Caenorhabditis elegans: one gene and its partner. The protein of the gene in region 1 interacts with the protein of each later gene in a pairwise test. Each region holds a gene or a part of one and is shown on either strand. Other genes may lie near its edges.

The links.
Region 2: the proteins of efl-2 (region 1) and nhr-23 interact in a two-hybrid assay, tested with the Caenorhabditis elegans proteins (one large-scale study listed by BioGRID).

What each region holds. Positions count from the first base shown.
Region 1 is NC_003280.10:13,403,587-13,412,714, reverse strand, and holds efl-2 (Transcription factor efl-2), read right to left. Parts: upstream 6,576-9,128; 5' UTR 6,556-6,575; coding exon 6,263-6,555; intron 4,703-6,262; coding exon 4,553-4,702; intron 3,693-4,552; coding exon 3,599-3,692; intron 3,406-3,598; coding exon 3,123-3,405; coding exon of another isoform or gene 3,088-3,122; exon of another isoform or gene 3,031-3,087; intron 1,692-3,030; coding exon 1,435-1,691; 3' UTR 820-1,434; downstream 1-819. Other genes in the region: Y48C3A.18 (Threonylcarbamoyl-AMP synthase), read right to left, coding at 1-66; pinn-4 (Peptidyl-prolyl cis-trans isomerase), read right to left, coding at 8,162-8,272.
Region 2 is NC_003279.8:7,213,766-7,222,166, reverse strand, and holds nhr-23 (Nuclear hormone receptor family member nhr-23), read right to left. Parts: upstream 5,384-8,401; 5' UTR 5,206-5,383; coding exon 5,138-5,205; intron 3,382-5,137; coding exon 2,990-3,381; intron 2,850-2,989; coding exon 2,758-2,849; intron 2,712-2,757; coding exon 2,638-2,711; intron 2,592-2,637; coding exon 2,471-2,591; intron 2,405-2,470; coding exon of another isoform or gene 2,399-2,404; coding exon 2,307-2,398; intron 2,263-2,306; coding exon 1,707-2,262; intron 1,661-1,706; coding exon 1,379-1,660; intron 1,305-1,378; coding exon 1,215-1,304; 3' UTR 939-1,214; downstream 1-938. UniProt on the Caenorhabditis elegans protein: Orphan nuclear receptor. Transcription factor. Modulates expression of target genes, such as Period protein homolog lin-42 and microRNA let-7, by binding to hormone response elements (HRE).

The sequences.
Region 1 (9,128 bases):
CGCCGCGTCAATTGCCTCCTCAATGTTGTCGGCGGTGAGCCGTAGAATTCGGCCGCCGGCTGTCATTTTTTTTTGGAATGCTGAAAATTTGTACTCCTCTCGGAAAATCCTAATTTTCGAAAATTTGAATTTTTGCATAATTTTTTGGCTTTAATTTTCGTGTAGTCCTCTCGGACAACTTGAATTTTCAAAATTAGGAATTCGAATATTTTCGAAATGAATTGTACTCCTCTCGGAAAATCGAAATTAGATTTTTTTAAAATTTTTTCGAAATGAATTGTACTCCTTTCGGACGATCGAAATCAGGTTTTTTTTTTCAATTTTCTCGAAACAAATTGTAGTCCACTCGGAAAATCGAAAATTGAATTTTCAAAATTCGGAATTCGAATTTTTTCGAAATGAATTGTACTCCTCTCGGAAAATCGAAAGTAGATTTTTTTTAAAATTTTTTCGAAATGAATTGTACTCCTCTCGGACAACCTGAATTTTCAAAATTTTGTGTAGTCCTCTCGGACAACCTGAATTTTCAAAATTTTGTTTTCGTCTTTTTCAAAAAAAAATTGTACTCCTTTCGGACGATCCGAATTTTAAGAAATTTTGGTTTGAAAATTAGCTTATCAAAAATTTGAAAATTTCGTGTACTCCTCTCGGACAAACAAAATTTGCAAAATTCGAACTTTTCTGTTTGTGTTTGTGGGTTTTTGCAATATATATTTTTTTTAATCTAAATTCGATTTTCCTGAAAATGTAATTTAAGAAAGATAGAAAATTGGCTGTGGTAGTAAACCATAAAATTGGAGAAAAAAATCGAAAAAAAAAATCAATAAAATTCGTACATATGTATATGTTTAAATCAAACTTTCGAGAAAAAAAAGGGGAATTTATGAGCCGAAAAAGGTATAGAGAATTAAAAGAAATTAGAAAATTTTCAAAAATAATATTTTAAAACAAAAAACCTGAGATATTCTGGGCGGGGGAGATGTAATAATAATGGAAGAGATAATTCAACCGAGATTCAAAAAAAAGGTACACTGTGACGTCATCAGGGGGGGGGGGGGGGGTTGAAATCGTGATGCAAGCGCGCTCCACGGCCAAAAATTTGAATTCCTCGTGTTTTTATTGAGGTCTCATTTCAGCTTGATCTACGTTGATCTACAAAAAATGCGGGAGAAGAGATACAAGAGAGTTCTCAACTGATTTCGCATGGTTAAGAACGTGCTGACGTCATACTTTTTTACTTTTTGTGCAAAAAATTCCCGCATTTTTTGTAGATCAAACCGTTATGGGACAGCCTGGCTGGCACCACATGGCACAAAAAAAAACGAAAAATGATTGCCGTGGAGCGCGTTTGCAGCGCGATTCCACCAAAATTCTCAATTTTTAACAAAAAGAAAACCTTTTTAAAAATAACACAATTTAAAATAAATTCAAAAATTAATCAGAGAAAAAGTCCATAACACTGACGGGCTCCTCGTCTTCCTGGCCGCTGGCTCCGGCTCCGGCTCCAGTGGCTCTCGACGGTGTCGTAATATTAATATAACCACTTGTCAGATCATCGGAGAAACTCGGCAGAATACACGGATCGATAAGTGACTTGAATGGACTGAAAAAGAGCCCACGGCCTGGAGTTTCTGGTAGATATGGAGCATTTGATTGTGAAGCTGATGTGGATGGAGGGAGCACAAAGGTTTCTGGAAAGAATTTGGAAATTTGGAATTTTTTGCCGAAAAAAAAAAGACCATTTTGTGGGCGGGGCATAGCTAACCACGCCCACAAAATGGTAAGCCCACGTGGTGTCAGGTTGTCCCGTTTCGTTGTGATCTACAAAAAACGCGGGAGAAAAGGTGCAGAGCTCTCAACTGATTTCGCATGCTGACGTCACATTTTTTGGGGAAAAAATTCCCGCATTTTTTGTAGATCAAACCGTGATGGGACAACGTGACACCACGTGTAGGCACCTTTTTTTTTTTTGGGAAATTCCGGCCGATGATTTCTGGAAAGAATTTGGAAAGTTGGAATTTTTTGCCGAAAAAATGATCATTTTGTGGGCGGGGAATAACTAGCCACGCCCACAAAATGGTAAGCCCGCCCCATTTTTTGTGATCTTTTTTTTTTTTTGAAAATTCCGGGCGATTTGGAAATTTTTTCCGAAAAAAAGTTGCCATTTTGTGGGCGGGGCATTAAATGGGAGGAGCTTCACAGACCACGCCTACAAATTGGTAAGTCCGCCCACTTTTCCGTGCCTTTGCGGCAAACTCTGTCTCAAGAAGTTTTTTTTTCGGAAAATGCAAAATTTTCAATCTCAAACCACGCCCACAAAATGGACACTTTCTCGGCGAAATGTTAACGCTCCGCCTCTTTTGTGGGCGTAGCCTCCTACGCTCCGCCCATTTTTCTGTGCCTTCTCGGAAATCATATTTTTTTCAAATTAAAAAAAAAAAAAACTTCGGGCGACTGTTTCTGGAAAGAATTTGAAAAATTTTGCCGAAAAAAAGTTCCCATTTTGTGGGCGGGGCATAAGAGCAAGCCACGCCCACAAAATGGCAAGCCCGCCCCCTATTTTTTGTGACCACTTATTTTCGGAAAATTCCGGGGGGGCAAAAGTTTCTGGAAAAATTTGGAAATTGGAAATGTTTGCCGGAAAATTGCCATCGGACGATCGAAATTTGATTTTTTTAAAATTTTTTCGAAATAAATTGTACTCCTCTCGGACTATCAAATTTTTTTTTCAATTTTTTTCCAAAATAATTGTACTCCTCTCGGAAAATCGAAATTTGATTTTTTTAAATTTTTTTCGAAATAAATTGTACTCCTCTCGGACGATCGAAATTAGATTTTTTTAAATTTTTTTCGAAAAAAATTGTACTCCTCTCGGAAAATCGAAATTTGATTTTTTAAAATGTTTTCGAAATAAATTGTACTCCTCTCGGACAATCGAAATTTTATTATTTTTTTTTCAATTTTTTTTCGAAATAAATTGTACTCCTCTCCGATAATCGAAATTTGATTTTTTTTAAAATTTTTTCGAAATAAATTGTACTCCTCTCGGACAATTGGAATTTTTAAGTCATTTTCCTGCGATTTTTTTCAGATTTTTTCCGAATTCTGTGAATTCCTCGCACCCAAATCCTCGGTATCAATTTCCTCCGGTTCTTCTAATTTGATGTGTTTTGGTGATGATGAGATTGTTGTGGGATCTGTTAGCATTTCAGCTAGGGTTACACGTAATGCTTCAGATGTCTCAAATCTTTTTTGTGATGATAATTTTTTCACATCGTCCTCGTCCTCCTCATCGCCGTACTCTGGCGGATCATTTGTGAAGAGCAACGCGTGAGATTTGACTCCATTCTTATTCCGAACTATCATATCGTGTGAGCCACTGGTGCTCGGGTCTGTTACTTGGATCTGGAAAAATGGCCCGATTTTAAGCCAATATATGGGCGGCGGAGCCTATTATTGATTTTTCTTGTGGATTTTTGGGTTGCAAATTTTCAAAAAGTTGTGGTTTTTTTTTGAGATTTTAGCTAAAAATTAGCTGAAAATTTATGTTCTTAAATTTTTTTCGAAATAAAATTTAAAAATCGCCAAAAAATCGAACCTCAAAGGAGCTGCTCGTATCCAGTTCTGATTTTACGATAATCGATTTTGTGTTCGGCTCGGCGGTTTTTCGAATGTCTTCTTTGCTCACATAACTGAAAATAGTTCTTTTTTTTATTTAAAAAAATGATAAACAATTTTTCTCATTTTATTTGTTAAATATTTCATTTTTTTCCATTTTTTAAAATTATTTTTTTCAGTTTTTCTTTCATTTTTTCCTTATTTTGTCCAAAAATTGGAATTCTCTTTTTTCTTACTTTCTCAGTTGAAACATTTTTTTTTCACTTTTTTTCAATATTAATGTAAAAAATGAAAAAGAATGAAAAAAAGAAAGAAAACACTTTTTTTTTCATTCTTTTTTTCCTTTTTTCTCTTTTTTTTACAATTTTTTTCCTTTTTTCACTTTTTTCATTATTAATGTAAAAAATGAAAAAAGAATGAAAAAAGAAAAAAAACTTTTTTTCCTCTTTTTTTCATTCTTTGTTTCCTTTTTTCTCTTTCTTTTTTCCTCTTTTTTCATTCATTTTTTTCTTTTTTTCACTTTTTTTCATTATTAATGTAAAAAATGAAAAAAGAATGAAAAAAGAAAAAAAAAACTTTTTTTCCTCTTTTTTTCATTCTTTTTTTTCTCTTTTTTCATTTTTCCTTTTTGCATTTTTTTTTTTCATTATTAGTGTAAAAAATGAAAAAAGAATGAAAAAAGGAAAACAACTTTTTTTCCTCTTTTTTTCATTCTTTTTTTCCTTTTTTTTTTCTCTTTTTTCATTTTTCCTTTTTTCACTTTTTTTCATTATTAATGTAAAAAATGAAAAAAACTTTAAAAAAATTTTTTTTTCCTTTTTTTCCTCTTTTTTCATTCTTTTTTTTTCTCTTTTTGTTCATCTTTTTTTCTTCATTTTTCTCTTTTTTTCATTTCTTTTTCAATTTTACTCAAAAATTTTAGAAAAAAACAAACTTATAGGGCCGCTCAATTGGATCCTCAAAATGGAGCTCAATAATCGCTTGAGCATCTCGTATCATCAGTTCGAGCAGCTTTTCCTGTTGGCGGAGCATCTCGACTCGGGCCTCGAGCGCGTTTTGCTCTTCGGAATTGTTGTTGTCTCCACTGGAAAAAATAGGGAAAATCGAAAAAAAAAACATTTTTTTTCATTCGAGAAAGAATGAAAAAAAAATTAAGTAAAAAATGCCTGAAATGAAAAATGAAAAAAAGAGAAAAAAACGATGAAACATTTTTTTTCCTTTTTTTTTCTTTTTTTTTTTCATTTTTTTTTTCCTTTTTTTCTTTTTTTCATTTTTCTTCTTTTTTTTCTTTTTTTCATTTTTCTTCTTTTTTTTCTTTTTTTCATTTTTTTTTCCTTTTTTTCTTTTTTTCTAGTATTTTTTTTTTCATTTTTAGACAAAATTGGAATTTCATGAAAAAAAAACCCGTTTTCAACCAAAAAATTGCAGATTTGTCTATATTTTCAAGTGGAAGTTGAAAATTAAAGCAATTTTCCAACTTTTACCGGGAAACACTTTTTATTAAAACTTCAATCATTTTTACGGAAAATATAGACAATTATGCAATTTTTCCGTTTTTCTCGAAATTTTGACTGGATAACAGTTTTTTTTTTGAGAAATTCCTCTGGAAAATCAGAAAATCAGGAAAAAATTGGCTGAAATTGTGATTTTTAGCCAAAATTTCGGGAAAAATCGGAAAAATATCAGTTTTTGAGCCAAAAATTGCAGATTTGCGCATATTTTCTTTCAATATCATCGAATTTTAGTGGAAAATTGGAACTTTGCTTTAATTTTCAATTTCCACCTAAAAAATTCGGAAAACCCAGTCAAAATTAGCTGAAACAGTGATTTTCAGTCAAAATGTCGAGAAAAATCAGAAAAGTAGCAGTTTTTCGGTCAAAAATTGAAGACTTCTGAATTTTTGCTCAAAATGATTGAAATTTCATTAAAAACTGCCTGAAAAATCAAATTTCCAGAGAAAATTTGGAAAATTGCTTTCATTTTCAACTTCCACTTGAAAATATAGACAAATCTGCAATTTTTTGGTTGAAAACGGTTTTTTTTCATGAAATTCCAATTTTGTCTAAATGTACGCGATCGTACTCTTTGCCCCGTGACTCACTCGCAATCCTCACATTATTAATGTTGTTTTGTTATCTTTTGCACCATTCAATTATGATTGCATTCCTATCCCCCGTCATTTTTACTTATCTTATTGATTCTCCGCCTACTTCATATTGTATATAAGCCATCACCTATCTGATGGCTCTATCCTTTCATTTAATATCAATAAATGATACAAACCCCAGCCAGCTCTGAACTCGATTACTAAAAATGAAAAAAAAATACTAGAAAAAAAGAAGAAAAAATGAAAAAAAGAAAAAAAGGAAAAAAAAAATGAAAAAAAATGAAAAAAAGAAAAAAAAAGGAAAAAAAATGAAAAAAAAAATGAAAAAAAGGAAAAAAGGAAAAAAAAGAAAAAAAAAGAAAAAAAAATGAAAAAAAAAGGAAAAAAAAAATGTTTCATCGTTTTTTTCTCTTTTTTTTTTCATTTTTCATTTCAGGCATTTTTTACTTAAAATTTTTTTTCATTCTTCCTCGAATGAAAAAAATTTAAGAAATTGAACAAATTTCACTCGGAAAAACCGGGAAAAATCGCACTAACATCCATCGAATATTATTCTTCTCCACCTTCTCCACATAACCGAGCCCCTCGAGCACATTGATGACGTCATAGACGCGTCGTTTCGAGATATTCAACTCTTTGGCCACTTCATTCAAATTGAGCACCTCATTCCTTTGCCGTAGGCTCATGAATCGTTGTGTAATGAGCCCAAGTGATTGCTGACTTCGAAATACTTCTTTGGGACTTCCAGCTGCTGCTGCTGCTCCGTCCTCGTGTTGTTGTTGCTCCGAGCCACCGGGTATTGAGCCCAAGTCTATTGACGAGGGATCCATACTTTGCATAACAGAGATCTGCAGAAAATTGATTTAAAAAAGGAAAAAAAAAGAGAAAAAAAGAGAGCATATTTTCTTTTTCTTTTTTTTTTCATTTTTTTTTCATTTTTTTTTTTCATTTTTTTCTCTTTTTTTTTCTTTTTTTTTTCTTTTTTTCTTCTTTTTTTTTTCTTTTTTTTTCATTTTTTTTTCATTTTTTTTTTCATTTTTTTTTCTTTTTTTTCTCATTTTTTTTTCATTTTTTTCATTTCTTTCCTTTTTCTTCTATTTTTTCTTTCTTTTTTCATTTTTTAAACCATTTTTTGCCCACAAAACGGTTGAGCTCGAGAAAATCACAAATTTTCAATTGAAATCCATGTTCAGAGCGGTTTTCATGCGAAAAACTATAACTTTCTGAGTACAGTGTGCAATAAGCCACGCCCATTTTATGGGCGTGGTCTGGTTGGCTCCGCCTATTTCTTGGCATTTCTAAAATTTTGAAAATGCTCAATTTAACTCATATTTTCAGTGACTTTTTCAAGAAAATAATGTTTTTCTCCGATTCTTAGTTTTGGCCACGCCCCTTTTCTGTGGGCGTGGTATCGTTAGCTCCGCCCATTTTATGATATTTCGAAAATGTTAAAATTTTCTATTTAAATCATATTTCCGGTAGAGTTTTTCACAAAAAAGTTTTTTTTTTTAATTTAATTTTTTGAACTTTTTTTTTCTTAATTTTAACCACGCCCCCTTTGTGTGGGCGCGTTCTGGTTGGCTCCGCCCTTTCTTGGCTTTTCGAAAATTTTGAAAATTCTCAATGTAAATCATATTTTTGGTGGTGTTTTTTTTTTTAAAGAAAAATGATTTTTTTAATTTCGAAAAATTTTCAATTTTTGACCTGACCACGCCCCTTTTCTGTGGGCTTTGTCTTTTAGCTCCGCCCATTTTTTGGCATTTCGAAAAAGTTAAAACTGTTCCATTATTTCCGGTGGTGTTTTTTTACAAAACAAAAAGTTTTTTAAATTCAATTTTTAAAATGTTCTCAATTTCGACCACGCCCCTTTCAGTGGGCGTGTCTTGACTAGCTCCGCCCATTTCTTGGCATTAGTTAAAAATGTATAATGAAAACTAATTTTTTGTGTTGTTGTTAACAGTTAAAAAAAACACTTAAAAAGTATTCAAATGCATTTTTGACCACGCCCCCTTTGTGTGGGCGTGGTCTGGTTGGCTCCGCCCCTTTCTTGGCATTTCGAAAATATTTTTCTTTCAAATTTTAACTGAATTTTCATGTAATTTTAAGAGAAAAAACAATGAATATTTCCCAAAAAATATTAAAATTAATTTTTTTAGCTTTAAACATTTAGGAAAAAAATTTCCGTTAAAAATGACCATTTTATGGGCGTGGCTTAGGTTTTGCTCCGCCCTTTTTCTAGAACTTTTTTAATTTAAAATAAAAGTAAAATTAAACTGGAAAAAGATATAAAAAGCGTTGAAAATTAACGCATAAATGGGCAAAAAATGAGGAAAAATTGGGAAAAAATGAGAAAATATTTATCAAAAAAAAAAAAAAAAAATTTTGCAACAAAAAAGACAAAAAAAAGCGAAATCAACATTTTTTTTTTTGGAATGATTATTTCTTTCCCTCGACCATAATCACATGATAACCGAACTTTGTCTTGACTGGGGGGTCCGTGTAGATTGGCTTGTCGCATGAGCTGTTCGACAGGGCAAATGCGGCGTCCTGAAAATTTTTTTTTGGAAATTTTTGTGGAAAAAATTCTAAAAATTGCCTAGAAATCTGCAATTTTAAGCATTTTTCCGGTGAAAAAATGTGAAAAATTGGTGTATTTTTATTAAAAATATTTTTTTTTTCAATTTTTTGGAAGTTTTGAGATAATTTTCGGATTATCGATTTTTTTCAAAAGAAAAACTTAATTTTTGTCGATTTACGCAGCTCGTGTAGTCCACGAGGACAAGTGATTTCAAGATTTACACTTTTTTTTGTATTTCTCATTCAAATTGTCCATTTTTTTTTCTAATTTATGCCGAAAACGAGAAAATTTAAGATTTTCAATTTTTAAAACACTATAAAAATCAAATAAATCATCGACAATTTTAATGATAAATACTCCAAATAATCAGAAATTTCAGTCAAAACTGGAAGAAATCACGTTTCTCCTCGAGGAGTACACACAAGCTGCGTAAATCGACACGTTTTTTTTGTCTGAATAAAATTTTTTTAAAAAAATTGAGAAAAAATGAGAAAAAAAACATTTAAAAAAGGAAAAACAAATCAAAAAAGAGAAGTTCATATTTTTCTTTTTTTTTCATTTTCTCTTTTTTTTCGTTTTTTTTTCGACACGTCTTTCTTTTTTTGTTTATATTGAGAAAAAAAAGAAAATTTCCGAAAAGTATTCCTAAAACATCCAAAAATTTGGAAATTTTTTTTTTCATTTTTCAAATGTTTTTTTCCGTTTTTTTTTTCATTTTTTTTTCTCTTTCTATCTCTTTTTCGTTTTTTTCCTTATTTTTTTGTTTTTTTTTTCATTTATTGCAATTTTTGAAATGTTTTTTCCTTTTTTTAAAATTTAATTTTC
Region 2 (8,401 bases), on another chromosome or scaffold:
TTGAATTCCTGAAACTGACACTATTATGTTTGACTAAATATAATTGATAGATCCAGAAATAATCTAAAGCTTAAATTCAATTTCAACTTACGAAAATCATTGATGAAGTACTTCGTAAAAAATTAAAAAATGATATAAATATATGAGTATATTCTATTCTAAAGTGGACAAATTTATGATAACGAGAGCCTCGTGGAAACATAAAGTAGTGTTGGAAATTTAATTAGAACTCACGTCTTAAAACTCACGCGTTGTATCTATTTTTGGAAAATAATCGGAATAAAAAGTAAATATTAATTAGGAACAATTCTACGGAGAATAACCAGAAAAATAAAAATATAAAATTGAGACGTTTTATCACTGAGAAAACCAAAAAAAAAGAGATTATATTTAACAGAGAAAGATGTTGTGGGGCAGGTAGAACCGAGAGGAAAGTGAAATAAATTAAAAAGTCGGTGTATGGAGCTGAATGCATTGATGACAATGAAACATATTTAGGATGTTACATGAAACAATGGAAACACTCAAGCGACCACTACACCATAAACGAGAAAATGGTTGGATCAAATGGGTAAGAAGGCGTAATTAAAGCGCAGACACTGGAATGATACGAGTTTTAAAAGGCAATAAATGGGGAGATATTTAATAAAATAAAAATTAGTGCGCCTAGAAATCCAGATAAATGGAAATTTGTGGTTTTGTACCCGTGTTGATCACGAAAAGAGTATGGGATGGGATGGGGAGAGGCATCAATACCTGAAGAGAAATGATAAGACAAGAGAGAGATTGGTATGGTTTCAGAAATTTTACTGAACATGAAATGCAAGAAAACATGGAACGCAACATGATTGTACATGGTACACGAGGGGGGGGGGGGGGGTGACAAAAGTCATTAATAAATTAGAACAAGTAAGTAAAGAAGATCCGAGTAAATCACTTTAAAAACAGGAAAAGGAGAGAAAGAATGAGGAACTCTCCTGCAACAGACGACTACAATTATTTTTCTATTAATTTTCTGATAAAACATGGAAACGACTGGGGTTTTGGGGGGAATGTCGGGAAAGGAAATCACAGAAGGAAAGAAAATGGTGTCGTTGGGTTCAAACGGCGCTTTGGTCTACTCTTATTGTACAAATAACCGGAGGAAACGAGATTCATGGACGGGGATAGGGAAGGAGAGCATGGATAAAACTATTGATGATATATGGATTCAGTCAAGGCCGATCTGCAGTGAATAGCTCTTTGTAGAGGGCAGGAAGCTTTTCAGATGATGTTGGATCAGACATTCGGAAGTTTTGAAGAGCCTGTAAATAGAAAAATAATAACCTCAAAATTAAGCATTCCAGATTATTTATATCCAAGCTTCAGCAAATAATACCTCTTGATGCAAACGAGCTGTTTGTCTGATTCTTGTCTCAACATCTTGAATTCGGTGAATCGTGTCTTCCATGCATCCAATTCTTGGCATGACACTTTGGTACAACGCGTTCTTCAGTGTTTCTGCAGTGGCAATCGTCGCAGTGTCAAGAATCCCAATTCCATGAGAAGAAGACACTTGCTCCAGAATAAGTCCAGCGGCAAGAAGAGCTAATTCGGATTGATGCGGTTGTAAATGAACAATTTCTTGAAGAGTGTTATTAACTTCAACGATCAATTGCATCTGAAACATTGAGTATGAGCCGATATTACTCTATGAAAATAAATACCTCGGCATCATCTTCGGCAATCAAGCATGCAAATGGAACAGAATACCTTTCACCGCACACTGCCTGCGCGTCTACATTGTAATACATAGCAGCAAAAACGAGTGATAACTCAAAAACGCTTCCCTTCAGCAATTGAATCTGTGTTTCTTGCGGAAGATTCATAAATCCATCAATACTTTTGGCAAACTCAATAATTGCTTGAATAAGCGGATTGAGCTCCCTAGCGAAGAGCTCCCAACCACCAGCTCGACTCAAATGAGGAATACAATCAGGATCCACGTTACAAACTCCATGTTGTGTTGTATAGGAACTGTGCTGCTGATTGAAAGCTCTGATAACGCGAGTGGCAACGTCTTCTTCTGGAACTTGTGGCGATGGGAAGCTTCCTCCAGTGGCTTGATGTGCAACATATTGTGTGCCATTTGTAGATGATGGTGTTGCTCCGTACATGTTCTGTGGCATTGGAGTCGTAGGAGTCGCAGCAACAGCTATAGAATATCCGTTAACAGGTGTTGAAGTTCCAGATGGATAATGACCGTACATACTTTGATCAAAGCTGAAAATGACGTTGCATGACAGAAAAATGTAGGTGATAATTACCAATAACTGGGATGGGATGGTGGAGGGGAATAGTCGCCGTAAATTGCTTGGTATCCAAGACCATTTGCAGCTAATTCTTTATGCATTCGAACCTGAACCTTTAAGGATTGAACAGACAAAAACGATGACATGAATACGAAGTTTAGAATTGGGAATGTAAATACCTCATCTTCTACTTTTTCTCGTTGCTTTTTTGACATTCGTCCAAATTTAACTGCATCCCGTGACATTCCTAACTCAATACACTTTTTGAGACGGCAGTATTGGCATCGATTTCGATTCACTCTGAAAATACGATATTAAATTTCTGTAACATTCCTAACTGAGATACCTATCAACAACACAATTCTTCTGTCTCGGACACTGATAATTGACGATGGATGATTGACTGCGTCGGAAAAAGCCCTGAAAAATGTATAAGAAATAAAGTAATTCTGGTAAAAAGGCATACCTTGCAGCCTTCACATGTGATAACTCCATAGTGAACGCCAGACGACTTGTCACCGCACACTTTACATGGTATTACTTCTATCTGCGCTGATACTGAAAAAGTAAATTTAGAATCTTTAAAAAGTTCAGTTTATCACAATTTTGGAGTGTTTTTTTTCAGAGTTCGGTTCCAAATTCCAAATTTCAAGGGTTTTAAAGGTTAGTAGGACAATGAACAAAAAATACGTGCATACCCAGAAGAGATTTGTTTTCGGGAAGTCCCCGGAAGCTCATATTATCAGGAAGAATTCCGGCCATATCGACTCGATTTGTATCAATAACACATGTCAATCTTTTGGAATTGTTTCCCATTTGAAGATCTCCGCCGCCTATACGAAAATCATCGGGAACTGACTTAAACTCCCGAGCAAAACAAAAATTTGGTTCCGATTTGATCGTATGCGGATGAAACATGCAATTTGAACTCTCGCATCCAGATTCATCATTTTCCTTGCTTTTTGGAGTTTCAATTGAGAGTGATGGTTGAAGAGATGACTTTGCATGAAGAGTTCGTGTTGCATCAGCCAACTTCTGCTCTACAGCTTGCATCGGAAAATTGTGAGCTTGTTGTCGCGATCGAGGCCAGCTGAAGATAAAATCAAGAAAGGCGGACTACAATTTAAGCGAGTAATGATAGGATACGCGGAAAGATTGAACGTCTAGAAACAGTTTGCGAAACGTTTTTTTTTTACGAAATGCCATGCAATCGCAGAGCTTAAGAAACTCACCTATTAGTTACTGGAGGATATAAATTGAAATTAATTGAAATTTCGAAACAAAAACCAGCCGTGGATCTTAACGTGACTTATTATTATTATTTAGGTTTTATCAATAAGATATAATCTAAACATAATAACTAGCTTATAGTTAGGAAAAAAATTCACGCAAAATAAATATTTAAATTCCTGCTGAACATTTTTTTTCATTGTTATTTGCTTTTGGGGGGGGAATTAGCCTTAAAAATTGAATCATTGCATATTTTAGATTAGAATAGTAAGATTTTTTTCGAATTCTAAATTTAAATTTGAGAAAAATGGTTGAAAACAAAATATTTATGTCAAAAATGAATTTAAAAAAAAACGAATATCAGCGAGGCGGACTACGGTAGGCGACATAAAATGAACTAAAGTCCGCAAACACTCTTAGCACACCGTACCTTCTGCGTTTTTAATATTTATAAATATTAAAAACGCAGAAGTTCAAATATTTGAAAAAAAACAAAAAAATTTTGTTTTTGCATTGTTTTGCAAATGGAATTCTTCAAAAGAAATTTGGTGAAACTGGAAATTTTAATGTCTCGCCTAAAACGCAAAAAAAATGGCTCAGCTTTTTGGTATTTTTAAATGAAAAATTTGACGAAAACCCGCCAAGAGAAATATGCTTCGGGAGTTCTTTATGTTTTTGTGCATAAATTTTAATCAGAAAATGTATACGGCAAGAATATAAAATCTATATCAATCTCACTTCGAATAGCATCACTCATTTCTGATTCAGATAAAAATCTCGTCGTCCCCAACTCTTTTATTATATCGGCTCGATTTTCAACCTCGTTTCCTAGGACCACAATTATCAGGTCTTATATATTCGCAACATATTTCATATTTCCTCATCATACCGCTCATCCTTCATTTCCTGCCTATTCTCAACTTTATCCCCATCTCACCGCTCCTCTCATAACAATTACAGTGTTTTGAAAGAATGAAGAGACGGTGACGATGGAGGATATGGGAATACTGAGAAACAAGGTAGGAAATGAAGAAGACGTAGGAATAAGAAGATGAAGAAGACAATTGTGTGTACGTCTCCGCGCTATTTCTTCATCTCGAGAAGTGACCTCGGTACCTGTGCACGGTGTGTTGCGCGCGAACGGTACGGTATGCCTCCCGCCAGGAGGTGACAGGACCCCGCGTCGTCGACGTCGTCGCGCTGTGTGAGGCAGGATATAGACGACGTGGTTTGCGATGATGGTGGTGGCGGCAGCGGCAGCGACGACGACGACGGGAGGTTGCAATTTCGTAAATTGTACTTTCCGCTGATCATGCGAAACGACAAAAGAGAGACGGAGACGTATACACAGCAAGTACGTGATGGTACCGCCGCGGAAAACTGGGAAAAGTGAATTTGATGGCAAAAACGGTGAAGAACACCCGAAATCTGGTTAAAAATATGTGCAAAATTTCAGAAACTTTCAGCCATCTTAGATAGTCTTCGAAACTTCCATTTTGAATTGAAACATCCCTACAGTATGCTAGAACATTACGGATTGCTTCAAATGTCTAGAGTTAGATCAAAAGATTTCAGGACACCCGCCGAGGTGCCACGTAAACAGAAAAACAACTCACTACACGAACGATGACATTTCGAGAACTGAAGTGAGGTGCCGATTTGGGCCAGTGACCTTACAGGCCATGCCATGCGCTCTGATGTGCCTTGACCCCTGATCTTCTTAAAAACCTTTTTTCAAGATTTTCGAAATGAGTGAAAATGGTTTTGATGTTGTTTGGCTAAACTCTCGAAATGACCATTGAAATGTTGCATTGAAGACCATCGAAGCGAGAACATGCACCTGGTACCGACAGTGACCACCTAATGGTAGAGAATACCGGTTTTCGGTGACACGCGGCTGGACGGGAAAAGGTGTCCCTTACCCCCACTCTCATTAGTCACTGATAAAGTACATTGTGTGAGATAATTAGAATGTAATTTCAAGTAAAAAAAACCAAAAAGCTGTGCTTTAAGATTTTTGCAATTTAATAGTAAGTGTAAACTTAAAAAGGGGAATAAAGAAAACTGAATTCAAGGTCAAGATGTGAGACGAACTTAATTGGGAATAATAACTCGATGAGGAGATGAGATACCATTAATACTTATTATAACTGCCGCACTGGTACTGACTCGTGCGGGCCATAAAGACTGTCCGTATTGAGTTGAAGTTATGACCAATAAGGAAAAATTTAGTAAGGGGGAGAAAATTATTTTTAGTGCTCCTTACATAATAAATTTAGATGTATAAAATAAATAGTGAAAGTAAATATCTAGAAGTAAAGCGAGAAAGAGGGAGAGAAAATCAGAGATCTTTTTGAGATACTGATCTTAATCTACAAAAGAGGGAATGTGGTTTCGGAAAAGAACAGAACACGACCACAAATAAGAAAAAAACCATTCGATAAGTATTTTTAATATCCTGCACAGTTTCAAGATGTTGAGTTATAACAAAATAATAGTACAATTCAAATATCAAAATATACCATAACTGAAAAGTGTAACTTTTGCAAAATAGACACAGTAATAAAATTGAAATTTTCAAATCAGTATTAATCCGACAGAAAATGGGAAAACGAATCTTCTCATAAATGAAAAAGGGCGCACGAAAATCTGAAGCATGGTTTTTGTGCTCCATTTACTGGGTACGACTATTTATTTGGTACTGGGTGCAAAATAGATACCGTACTATAATTGAGCCACATTGTTCATATCCTTTTTAGCTTATATCTCATTTTGTTTCATCGAAAAGTTATCAATTCACAAATTGCTTCGTAGTTGACTGTGTTTTGATATTTGTAAAATTAGTCCAGATATAAATTGACAAAGTAGAGTAATGGATTTCAGTACTGTGAGACTTTTTAAACTAGAAGTTTCAAGTGTCAAAGGAGGAACCGGGAATTGTTTATAAATAAAACTACAGTATAAATAGGAATCACATAATAAATAACTCAGTATAATACCAGAAAGGAAAAGCAAATAAGTTTAAGTTGCGCTAAAGAAAAGAAAAATACGGTGATGGTAAAAATAATTTAAAGTCCAAAAAAAAACAATTATAAGCGTATAAGATACTGTAAAACTGAAACATAATCAAAATCCACACAAAGAAGCCAAAAACGAACTACGACATCATTTCAAAGTGTTGAAATGTCGATTCTTTCTTCAATTTTGGGCTGTTCCCTCCTTCACAATTCATCTTTTCAAAAGGGCATTTTGAAGAGTATTACGGTAGAGGAAGGTGGTGGTCTCTATCTCGTCCAACTATGGGGCAATGGCAGAGTGACCGTGAAATATAGGCATTTTTGATCAATTTGATAGACTTGATAACAGTGGAACGTGCATAACATAGATGGTAAACATTGGTTAGACAACACAAACACATTTTGAAACCTTTCAATTGGAATCTGGAACCTAGAACCTGGATCATGGATCTTGAAACGAACTACTGAATTAATTGTTGTCCTATCGGCAAAAATGAATCTTTTTTGGGTTAGCCATGGCCGAAAACGGGGTGACCGGGTTAGCGGGTCCGGTCGCCGGGCCATGCCCTTCCCCGTTTTTTTGCATCTCTTTCTCTCTCCTTCCACCAACATCTTCGAGAGAAGAAGAAGATGAAGAAGACGTGAGATGACCTACCTCGCATGTCGTCGTCCGAACGCAAGTGACCCGGCCGGTCAGTAGCCGTCGCCGGTAGGGATGCGTCGATCCGGTGTGTCTGCGCATCACAACACTCTCGTCCCCACCCATCCCCTCTATCTCTCCGTTCTCTCGATCACGGCGGCGCCCTCCCAGATCGCATCGTCGCCGCACAAAAACGGTGAAGAAGTTTTGGAGATGAAGAAGATGTGGTGGCGAACGATGGAATAACTCTGTCGGGATGACTCGAAAATACCAAAAACCCGACCGATCACTAATCAGTCAAGACGCTTCCCCTGTTTTCACCCCGTCGAGAAAGCCGACAACGCCTTACTCGTTTTGCAACCGGGAAGATTACGGTAGCGGTAGTGATTAGAAAGTTTTCTTCTAATATAGTTGATGAAAGCTTCTGTAAAGTAAAGCTATTCAACTCTACTACATATAAAGATTTTGTATAACTTACCGTATTTTCCAGTGCTCCTTACTTGCACATCATTGCTATACTTTGACGGCTTATACTTCTGTTGTAATAAATTTTATCAAAAATCTTCAACAATCAAAACATATTTAAAAAAACTTTGTACGTATTATGCCAGTTGAAAATTTTTAGATAAAACTAAAATCAACCGAGATAAAAACTGTCAAAATAGAGCAAGGCGGTGCAAATCTTAAAAAGAAAATGCAATATGCAAAACATAAATACCATTTCGGATGTTGTGCATTGAATTGAATAAACTGGTTAAGAGATCAATTAATTTCATCTTTACAAACCAAAACTATCTAGAGCTTGCTCTCATCATCCAATAAACATACAACTTTATTTGAAACTCGAGATTATGTCTGGTGAAATTTTAAAATTTTTTTCACAAAAAACAGAATCTTCAAAAACAATCCCGAAATCCAAATTATAATAGTTCAAAAGGAGAAAAAGCAATTCATTTAATTTGACATGCAGATGGTCCCGTCCATTGCCATTTCTTCCGTTTCATTTCATAGGATTACTGTAATTGTAGATGGCATACACTACTAACACAACACAAAACACCTGCGTTCTCCTACTTCTCTTCATCTTCTTCGATGTTCATCGATCCATCCCTCAGATAACAATCTATTTTCACACCACTGACCCTCAGTGGCGTTTTCGGGAATCTTTTCGGAATGACAATCTGTCATATGACACAAGCTTCTCGCGATTTTGTTTCGAAATT